2 linked regions of the Drosophila melanogaster genome follow. The gene in region 1 interacts genetically with each later gene. Each region holds a gene or a part of one and is shown on either strand. Other genes may lie near its edges.

Region 1 (6,344 bases):
AGTGCCAAATACGAAAATACTGGCAAAGGTGCGGAAAGTGCCCTGTGCGATATTCACTTCCTTCCTCAAGGCAGAAATCTCCTCGGGATCGCCCACCAGCCGGGCTCTAGCGTCCATGAGCCTTAGGAGAGAGCGAATCTCATGGAGCTGCTTCCTCACCATGTACACATTCGCAAACTTCAAATTGGCCACAATATCGGTAATAGTTATGGTCAGGTTCTCGCACAATCCGGCCATGTTGGTGGTGAACAGCAGCCTGGCCAGCAAGCTCAAGGGAAACAGCACGGTGACCACCAAGTTGACCGTAATGGAGTATACCACGTAAAGCAGGCTTGAAACGCCCGGAGGACGCATCAGGCCAGTGAGCTCCCAAACGCGCCAGTGGTAGTACACAGCACTGTGGGTGTTCAGTTTGAAATCCTCTTGCTTCTCCATTGTCTCGGTTACCTTTGGGCAAATCCATGGGTTCTATTGCCTATATACTCTTGCGATTACCAGTGATTGCGCTATTAGCTATTAGATGGATTGTTGGCCAAACTTGTCGCTTAAGTGGCTGGGAATTGTAACCGTAGGCCCGAGTGTAATGATCCCCCATAAAAAGTTTTCGCAATGCCTTTATTTTTTGTTGCAAATCTCTCTTTATTCTGCGGTATTCTTCATTATTGCGGGGATGGGGAAAGTGTTTATATAGAAGCAACTTACGATTGAACCCAAATGCACCTGACAAGCAAGGTCAAAGGGCCAGATTTTTAAATATATTATTTAGTCTTAGGACTCTCTATTTGCAATTAAATTACTTTGCTACCTGAGGGTTAAATATTCCCCATTGATAATAATAATTCCACTATATGTTCAATTGGGTTTCACCGCGCTTAGTTACATGACGAGCCCTAACGAGCCGTCGGTGGTCTATAAACTGTGCCTTACAAATACTTGTAACTCTTCTCGTTTTGAAGTCAGCAGAGTTATTGCTAATTGCTAATTGCTAATTGCTTTTAACTGATTTCTTCGAAATTGGTGCTATGTTTATGGCGCTATTAACAAGTATGAATGTCAGGTTTAACCAGGGGATGCTTAATTGTGTTCTCAACTTCAAAGGCAGAAATGTTTACTCTTGACCATGGGTTTAGGTATAATGTTAACTGGTTGGGAGATTGGTGCTATACTAGAGTTTTTACGTTGGGTCCCCTAGGCTCTACTATTCCGCTAAGTGGGGCTGCTTTGGCGTTACTTGTCAGGTGGATCCGGTCATGAAGATCAAGAGCGTGATTAATCTACAAGTCGGTAAAGAGAACAGCGGAATTGGGTCAGGGACGGGGTTGGGTGGGGAAAAAGAACACAAAAACAAATCCGTAGATGCACACCATCGAGCACACGTTCACAGAGTGATCTTAATTTGTAGTTTTTAAGAATTAATTTAAAAATACAATCAAGTGGTGTAATCTAAGGCCTACAGTGTGATTTATGCCAGAGTGCTTAGGATCCGGCCACTCTGTTTCAATTATGTCGCGCCCACGCACTCGGGCAACGAATAGGAAAATAATTTATATATATATATATATCAATATATATGCATACATATATAGGTAAGGGCGTGTCATAAATTGTGTACACATACTTGAAATGGCTGCAACTTAGAATTGAACAACAAATAGTTTTCGAATAGGAAACTGGTACGTTACGTTACGTTACGGTTACATTTCAATACTCTACTTTACGTTACGCTAGGTTACGTTAGACAAGTGAATCGATTCGCAATCTAAATTTTTATCGCTATTACTAGAGTTTCGCCCACATTATTATCGCTGGGTTTGTATTTGTTGCTACATTATCGTTCTAAGCTCAGTTCTCAGTCGCAAAAGCAACGTGTGACAAAGGCGGCGCCTCCTCGGATTACGATTGTGTATACGTATATCCGATATAGGAGTCGGGGTTTTGAGTTATATTCGTCTTCAATTGTCAGACTCTTGCTGTTGCTCGCTGTTAGTTTTAGTTTTGAATTGCTCATTGGTTTAAAGTTTAAGTTTACATTTAGTTCTGTGAGTCGACCGACCTCTTCTTTAGTCGGTTCGATTCGATTGATTCGGTATTCGGATTCGGTTGCATTGGCTGCCTAGGGATTTGGAATTGTTGCATCTTTAGCGCTTCCGGCCTTAGGGGCTGCGCTCTGACTTGAAATTGCGTTTTTGTCTTTGTCTGACTTGGCATCCTGCAAAAGAAATACGAGAATTGCCAACGGTGTTCAATAGCAAGGTTGTTGAGTGTGTAAAAAGAGCTCTCAGATCTGTTTTCGCTATTAAATGCATTCTGCGAACTTCTCTTGGCTATTTCCAGATAACTACGCCCACGAACATTAATCACTCAAATCATTATCATTTCATATGCAATGAGTTTCATAAGTTGGGTTATATCTGCTAATTAAGTAACTAAATTGATGTTCTGGCAGTTTAAAATTCATTAAGTTCGCTTTTCACATGCCAACCAAATTGGAAAATGAAAACAGCCATAGGATTCAGTACTGAGGCTCGTTCAATTAAGAATATTAAGTTACTAAGAGTGCATTTATGAATCTACTACGCCTGCCACGATCGAACAGTACAAAATTCTATTAGTTTTTTAAATTTGTATACAAGGTGGCAGTAAACACATTGTATTGCAGTTCTAAATAGTTACACAATTTTGTTCAGTTCCTAATAAATCTATGGTTGTAAATATATGCCAATAGTTTCTCTTTTGCGGATATATATCAGTGCCAAGGGAACAACCGAAGGTGAAAATAGATATGACAACAACCTTCCGCAGGACTGCAGGATAATGCGAGAGAGTGCATCAGGTTGAGACTTACTTTTTCACTTTCTCTGCTCTCTTATTTTTTTCCTACCGCCCGGCAAACGCAACAAAGAGGGACGGGTGGGGGTTACGGATCAAATCAGGGGTGCAAAGTGATTCCGGATTAAGCCGAAACTGTACCCGGAATCGGTGTGCCTCCCTGAATAGAGCTTCGGATGGGACACCTGTTCCAAGGGAATAAGGATATGTTGGGGGGTCTCTATATGCTCACCTTGGCCTTGACAGTGGCTGCCTCCTGCTTGAGATACTCTTCCCGCGCCGCTTCGTAGAGACTAACGAACTTGTCCCGCTGGCCCTTGTACTGAGCGAAGAGCTCGTCGTCTTTGTGGCCCTTCAATCTGTTCTCGATGTCCACCTTCTTGTCGTGCTCGCTGCGTATCTCGTCCGTTACCCAGGGCTTTTCGATGGGATACTGATTGATCAGGTTCTTTAGTGTCTTTATGCTGCTCTTGCCTTTCACCACCTGCTTGATTAGCTTGGGATTGGGCTTCATTATCCGGCCGCCATTCATGTTCATTGGTCCATAAGGTCCGACCGGTGGAATTCCCCGCGGCGGCATCCGTGGACCCATCATGTGCATGGGCGGTGGGACACCCATCATAGGACCTGGACCGGGTCCGTTGCGACGCATAAAGAGCGGTGGCGGCGGCGGTGGTGGTCCACCCATGGGGCCCATGGGTCCGGGACCGCGCATACCAGGCACCGGTGGCGGGAAAGGCATTTGCGGGTAAGGTCCTCCAGGGCCCATCGGTCCGGGTCCCCGTGGTCCGGGGCCCATCGGACCCATTGGCGGACCCATCATGAGGCGTGGAGGAGGACGGTTCGGAGGCGGCCCGCGTTGGAATCCATTAAAGCCACCGCGAATCTGATTGGGATTGTTGCCCGGATGGCGCTGCCAATCGCTTCCGTTCATCTGATTGTTGAAGGGCTGCTGCGACTGGTTCATATGATTGTTGTTCTGGTTGTTCATCTTGCCCTGCTGCTGGTTCGGACTGAGATGCTGCTGCTGGTTCGAATTGGGATGCTGCTGCTGGTTCGGACTGGGATGCTGCTGCTGGTTCGGACTGGGATGCTGCTGCTGGTTCGGACTGGGAGGCTGCTGCTGGTTCGGACTGGGATGCTGCTGCTGTTTGATGCCCTTCATAGACTTCTTCTTGGGACTGCCTACCTGATTGTGTTTGAATCCTGGTGGCGGGCTGCTGAAGTCAATGTACAGGGGATCGCTCGGCATTTGGCTGGAGGAAAACATCATCTGATTGTTACCGTTGACCCTGTTACCATTCCCATTTCCTCCTGGTCCGGAGTTAATTTTGCCCGAACGAAACGGTTTTCTATACGGAGCCGCAGCTGCGCGGGGATTATTGTTGCAATTATTATTGTTGCTCTGGTTGTTGCGGTGCTGCAGATTTGGCTGCTGCTGTTGCTGAAACTGTTGCTGCATTTGGTGCGGGTGCTGCTGCTGCGACTGCATGGTCCAGTTCTGATAGAATTGGTTCTTGGACACCATTGCAGGTAGCTGGATTTCACTGAAAACGGGGGTTCAGGACTCGAGCAGAGGAGCCAAGCCGAAACGACAGGCGGGGAGCAGATGGATCTAAAATGTTGCACGCCTATTTGTCACAAAAACTTATATTGAAAATATTACGATGAATCGATTGCGATAACGTTTCGATACCAGTGCTGTCGAAGGAGTGTGAACAACTATAACAATCAGTTTTTCCCACTAATGTATGTTTCCACTAACACAAATGTAACATCACAGCACATTTTAGAGTATCTCAACTTTTGTTATCGCCTGCGCTGTTATCGATAAGCGTACTTCGCACGTGTGATTTAAATCAATGTTTATATTATTGCCCAAAGTTAATTCTGTTACTTTATTTTATTAACTATATTGGTAAAGTAAAGTAATCATGGGCAAGAAGGTGCACAATGCCAAGGCGCGGCAGAATCCACAAACAATTGTGGACAACTCGGCCGTGAAGAAGGTAGGTCATCCGTCGGACCACACACTCGAATCCGCTTTCTTACCCTTTCCAAATCCAATACTCTACAGATTCAGATCGATGTGGATGCTGTGGCCGGCGGCAACCAGGTTGGCTACGATGAGGCCAACGCTCTGGTTCTGCCCTCCGAGAAGCGGGCCACCAAGATTAAGGTGGACAAAGTGCAACACGTGAAGATCCTTTCCAAGAAGCAGCGCAAGCACCTCCAGGCTATTGTGGACAAGAAGAAAAAGAAAGAGGGTGTAGGTTTTTATTCAGTGCTAATATAAAACTGATATTTAATTGAAATCTTTTCTAATTTAGCGCGCTCAGCTGTTGGGTGACCTTGCTGCCGTTCAAATTCCGGAGGAGGAGCTGCAGCAGTATACTTCCATTAGCCAAGTGCAAACCGTGGGATTAAAGCGTCTACCCACCCTTGACGAGTATCTAGCCAAGAAAAAGGAAAGACAGGCCCAAGTTTTAGCTGAAAAAAGCTCGGCGTCGGGTCTCCGCGTAAATGCTATAAAGGGCTCCAAGCGCAAGCTTCTCGTCGAAGAGGAGGAGGAACTACAGGCCAAGCGAAAGAATCCGAATGTAATTAGCGTGGAGGAAGATGACGAAGATTCTTCATCCTCTGATGAGGACGATGAGGAGGCACCAGCTCAATCCGCTCCTATTGCCATACCCACTCCAGTGTCTATAGCTCCACCGCAAATCGCTGTTAAACCACCCATTAAAAAGTTGAAGCCAGAGCCTAACCCACCTGCCTGTATCCACCAGACTGTCTATGTGCCCGTACATCGGACAACAGAAGTTCAGAATGCCCGTCTTCGACTGCCTATCCTCGCGGAGGAGCAGCAGGTGATGGAGACAATCAACGAAAACCCCATTGTGATCGTGGCTGGTGAGACTGGCTCTGGAAAGACTACCCAGCTACCGCAGTTCCTGTACGAAGCGGGGTATGCCCAGCACAAGATGATTGGAGTGACGGAGCCGCGGCGAGTGGCTGCTATTGCCATGTCCAAGCGGGTGGCCCACGAGATGAACCTGCCGGAGAGCGAGGTGTCATACCTCATTCGCTTCGAGGGAAACGTAACACCAGCGACGCGCATTAAATTCATGACAGATGGTGTGTTGCTTAAGGAGATCGAAACTGACTTTCTGCTTAGTAAGTACTCAGTGATCATCCTGGACGAGGCGCACGAGCGCAGTGTTTACACAGACATCCTAGTGGGTCTCCTGTCAAGGATCGTGCCCTTGCGTCACAAACGCGGGCAGCCGCTGAAGCTGATCATTATGTCTGCCACTTTGCGGGTATCCGATTTTACAGAGAATACTCGCTTGTTTAAGATTCCGCCACCGTTGCTTAAAGTGGAGGCTCGACAATTTCCGGTGACTATTCACTTCCAGAAGCGCACACCTGATGACTATGTGGCGGAGGCTTACCGCAAGACCTTAAAAATCCATAATAAGCTTCCGGAAGGCGGCATACTAATTTTTGTGACGGGA
Region 2 (5,149 bases), on another chromosome or scaffold:
ATCTGAAGGAGAAGAATGCCGCCGCGGCAGACGTTACAACACAGGAACAACTGCCCGTTACATGCGAATAATCCTACTCATAATTATTATATATAATATTACATATTATTAAAAACAAAACAACAAACGATACAAGCAACAACAAAAGAACGCAACGTAAAACAACAAACAATTACAAGATAAACGAGATAAAAACAAAACAAAACAAAAAACAAGCAAAAATACATTTTTAAACATTTACATATTTTAAATAATTTTTGTACGAACTTCATATCCCTAATCCAAGATATACGCAAGCAAAAGTCCGAGTTACACGCGACACCACCATCCACGCCACCAATGCAACCACTGCAACCAATCACCACGCCCCACTCAAACACCACCCACGCGCAGGAATCAATAGTTTTTTTTATTGATGCCTCTCAATTCCAGATCGGGTTAAGTCCCCAAAAACACATCCATCACCCATCAAGCACACACCATCCACCACACAAGCGCATACATACCATTCTCATATTGATGATCTTGATAGCGAAAGAATCAACAAATCATATACGATGAAATGATGAAAGTGAGGAGAATTTTTTGAATAATTTCTACTATACATTTAACTGTAAGTTCGAAGAAATTTGTAAAGAATTTTTGGACGAAATATTGGATAAAATATATATTATAAAATATAAAACCCAAAAGCGTGCTTCACTCATATCCGCCGGCTGAAAAAAAAAAACGAGAGAGATAGAAACGAGATACGAGATACGATGAACCGCAGAAAGGAAACAATGTTTTGAATGTTTTAATTCTGTTTCGAGTCGAGTCCCAATCCTCTTCTTTAATACACTACCAAAATAGTTTTTCTTTACAATATACACAATGTAACAGAGTGTTACGAAAATAATCACTTGTCCTGGTAACTGGAGTAAGCGCTAAGATTACATTATATTTCGTAATGGTTAATTTAACGTAACAAAATGTTACTACAAACAAACTACAAAAGCTCCAACGAAAGCTTCAAAAGCGAAACAAACGAAACTAAGAAATGATAAAGAAAAGCAAATACTAACTTGTGCGTCTTTTGCAACTAAATAGAAAATCCTACTAAGTACACTAAATGTATTCAATAAATTAAAGCGTTAATTTTACGCTGCGCAACGTAAAGAAATATGGTCAACAAGAATTTGCCATCCAACAAAGAGGAGGCTTATATAGGTGAAACCAAATTGTTTCCAAATCAAATTCTAAATCTCAGCATCTGACAAAAAAGCGCTGCTTATGCAGGTGTAGTTGCTGCTGCTTCCGGCGATAATCCGGCACATTGCGGAGCATGAAAACGGCTGCGAAGAGAACGTAGAGCGACGACAGCATGAGGAGTACGGGAAAGGAGAAGACGATGTGCGCCATTCGGACCTTCCGCTGCGCTGTTGGAGGCGAATAGATGTAGTCACCTGCAATGATCAATGAGTTCATTTAGTTACCATGTACTGGGTACAGACTAATAGATATCGTTAGTTCCATCCGTTCCATACAACACAGGAAGAGACTTCTGTGAATGGATGGCTATGCTAGAGTAGAGTACCTACCATTCCAGCTCTTGTAGGCGCACCGCTCTCCATCGTAGTCGTTAACGCAGAGGCAGGAATGGAAGACTGTGTTGTTCACCATCGGATGCTGGAAGCAGTGGCCGCCGTTCAGGCAAAAGCTAGTATTGTAAGCTTCGCTGCAGGGCAGCATCTGAATCTCTGTCTCCTTGTCGTTCGGGCTGGGAGTCGTGGAGTCAGGCGTGCTGGACGAACTGGGGTCAGGTGGCGGTTCTCCGGTGTGGGTAACAGTTTCGGGTGTTGTCACTGTCTCGGAATCAGTGATTGGTGTGCTGCTTTCGCTGGCCAACCAGGTGTCGGTACTGGATCCGAGAATTATCCCATCCTGTTCCGGATCCGCAGCAATGGAGTCGTCTGCGTTTGGCAGTTGGCCGCCCGAGTCCGGATTGGGATCCGTATCGGGATGCAGCTGGTCTGCCTCCTCCTGGGCCGAGGCCTCCAGTTGCTTGCGCTGCAGCTCCAGGCGATTGAGCAACTCAACCGCGGTCTCCTGGATCTGCTGCTGCAGCTCGTGCGCATGCTCGTGCATGTGGCTGTGCTGATGCTGCACAATTTTCAGCGTATGCTCTCGGAGAAGTAAGATTCGGCTCGAACAACAATCTGCAGAATACAGAAGAAGGTGTGCGATTAAGAAAACAGGACATTTCCAGTGATCGCAAAGATACAGAATAGATAACGTTGTAAAGCTCAAGTTGAAGTACAAAAAGCTTTCAGTTTTTAGTGCGGCAACTTTTGAAATTATCATAAAAATGTCTCCCTATGGTATTATTATTACTAATTTTTTTAATTTTTAAGAATGCAAAGTTTGTTCATAAGGACAGTATTTAAATGAAACTCAAAAAAATCTTTAGAAATAATTCACAAATATGTATATTATCTGAAGTTTACTTCATTCATCATCCACGAACAGAAAGCTAATACAGGATTTTACACAGTTTTCAAGGAAGTTTTAGTTTTTTAGCATAACAAGTATATAATCAGCACTGCAAATATTTTATGATTTGTTGTAGCTGTTTTCCAGTTTTTTCGACGCTAGAAATAGCTTTTTTTGTGGGAGAGCCTGGCAATACTGGCCGTAATATTGGAATCTAAAAATCAGGTGGAGATTATGTACGTACCTGTGACGGCGACAATTGTTGAGAGCACGAAAATTACTTTGAAAATCCGAGTAAATGGGATTTGCATCATTGGAAAACGCTTGGGGTGGCGCTCCGAAAAATATTGATTGGGTGGACCGATTGTCCACCACTAGGAAAACTGAGTCAATGAAGGGGTCTAAACGATCGAGGGATCGAGCGGCGTGCTGGCCGCAAATGCAATTTGGCGTCGCAACAGAAGCTGAAACATACTACACACTTGCATCTCCTTGTGGATTTTACTGCAAAATAAAAATAGAACATTTTAGCGCCTCCACATTTTCTGTCGCACGAACGCACACACACGAAACAAAAAAAAAAGGAAAAGAAATAGCATTCAAAATTGGTGATCCAAAAGCTTTTCATAGATTATCTTAGACGTACTGGAGCTGCTATATGGCCTGTAGAAGGCTTCGACATTATAATTATTATAATGACTCGTGAATCATTTTATATATCAGGCAAGTAATTAATTAGTTAATCTAAAGAGCAGCAAGCGCGGGAAGCGGGCTCTTCTCTGCTCCACTTTGATTTTAGGTCTTGTTGCGCGCACGTCGGAAAAGAGACTGAGGAAAACAGAGCCAGAGAAACAGATGGACCTCATCCCTACATTGGCGGCATTGGCATGCGCCATGAATGAAATCGATCGGTGAGCGGGGAGAGCGAAGAGAGCGCCCCCAAAAGAGATGCGATTGCGACCGATAATAGTCGAAGAATCATATGGATATGCTAAGAGCTGCAAAAAAAAACCGCCCTTTAACAGTTATTCAATTTGTTAACGGCACTTTTCACTGCATACTTCTAGGGCACTATAAAGATATATTACTCTGTGAAGATAGCTGATAAGACTTAAAAATGTTTACATGTTTCGTACAAATATGCAATTGTAGCGATTATTATTTATATTGATAAAACAATTTAAAAGTCTTCAGCCAGATATTCAAAATTTAAAAATTAATGACCACTCATCTCATGATTTCGTCCAAAATATGATAATCGTTGATAATTAAAAACGCAGTATTCATTTCTTCGGACATTAATTTAGTTAATTTATTGCTTAGATTTATGCTTACCAACGAGTACAAGGCTCTAATTAGATATCAACTAATATCCCAGTAGAATTTGAACTATGACGCGGACTTGATAAAAAATAAATTCAAAACAATGGCAACTGCACATTAGATTTGTGGTTCTATCGGAGCAACTCCCAAGTGACTGTTTCCGAGGAAATCCAATTCGGAACACAGACTGATGACACGGCCTATGTCCTGAGGTTGGAGACACAACGGAGCATTGGCCGCCGCCGGTGGCAACTGTTCCAAAGTCTCCTGTTGCAGTTTCGCCGCCAAGGAGCGGCGCACCAATTTCTCAATAAAAGTGCGCAGCACTTGTCCGAGCATCGAGAGAGCCAGTGGCTGGGAGACGCCAGGCGGAGATTCCTCCGGTTCCAGTGTGATATTAATGTCCTTGCACATTTCCTGGACCAGCTGCAAGGTCGAATCCAAGTGCTTCGGCGGAGGTAGATAAAGTAGTTGGCGATGATTCACCATTTGGAAAGATACATCTGCTGAGTTTGTTAACCTGGACGCAAGCGGATGAGGTTTGTCCACACCCAACACATCGATGAACTCCTTATCCCGCATCTGTTGATCATGACCAAGCAGACGATCGGATTGCTTGGTTATCCAAGCTTCCAGCCGATTGCCTGAGCTGAGACTGCTATAGGCCGACAGTTGCGGTTGGGGCTCGCCCTTTAGTTGCGCCTGAACACGCCGAGCCAGTTGCTCCTCATCGCTCAGTTTTTGTTTTCTCTTTTCATGCACGACAGGTAAAACATCTTTGAGAGCTGGCGTATAACCATGAACCCTGGCGAACGCCACTATCTCCCGTAAACTCCAGTAGTGTTCCTTTCCACTAATGTCCAACTTATGCAGCTCGTGGTGCTGCATCAGACAGCGACGGAGCATACGTGCGCGCAGGTACTCAAAGCAACGTTGTTTTAGAGCAGTGTGATTGTGGAACTCTTCGAGGGTTATACAAGTGAATGGATACTCCTTTTGCTGATCAATCGACGCAAGCGGGAGGCGGCTCAGCAGGAACTCCACAGCACTGCGCATATTTCGGAATTGTGCACTTCTAAAGATGTGCTCCAGCCTTCGGGGTCGCGATTGTATGGTAGTGTCCACAATTGGAGGTAACAGCATTGGCTTTTCCTCCATCTCGCCGCTCATGTTGGCGTACCCATGATCGTGCTGCATGCACTGCAGCATATGCCATCGCGTTTCTGACGGTGGCTTAAGAAGACTCAATTGTGGTTTCAGCAGGGATTGTTGCTTTGCAGCCTGCTTAAGCTTGCGCTGCAAGGGATCGATAATGTACAGCTTTCCTGCTCTCTGAAACACAACATTCTTCTTG

The links.
Region 2: of fs(1)K10 (region 1) and grk, changing one suppresses a phenotype caused by changing the other (phenotypic suppression), as found in Drosophila melanogaster (one study listed by BioGRID).

Annotation. Positions count from the first base shown.
Region 1 is NC_004354.4:2,240,322-2,246,665, reverse strand, and holds fs(1)K10 (female sterile (1) K10), read right to left. Parts: upstream 4,529-6,344; 5' UTR 4,358-4,528; coding exon 3,062-4,357; intron 2,210-3,061; coding exon 2,114-2,209; 3' UTR 625-2,113; downstream 1-624. Other genes in the region: Or2a (odorant receptor 2a), read right to left, coding at 1-435; kz (kurz), read left to right, coding at 4,764-4,838, 4,907-5,098, 5,160-6,344. UniProt on the Drosophila melanogaster protein: May be involved in localization of sqd to the oocyte during oogenesis.
Region 2 is NT_033779.5:8,430,297-8,435,445, forward strand, and holds grk (gurken), read right to left. Parts: upstream 3,303-5,149; 5' UTR 3,119-3,302; intron 2,977-3,118; 5' UTR 2,787-2,976; coding exon 2,717-2,786; intron 2,199-2,716; coding exon 1,581-2,198; intron 1,446-1,580; coding exon 1,246-1,445; 3' UTR 790-1,245; downstream 1-789. Other genes in the region: Akap200 (A kinase anchor protein 200), read left to right, coding at 1-71; D12, read right to left, coding at 3,913-5,149. UniProt on the Drosophila melanogaster protein: Critical for defining the anterior-posterior and dorsal-ventral axes of the egg. May signal directly to dorsal follicle cells through the receptor torpedo (top).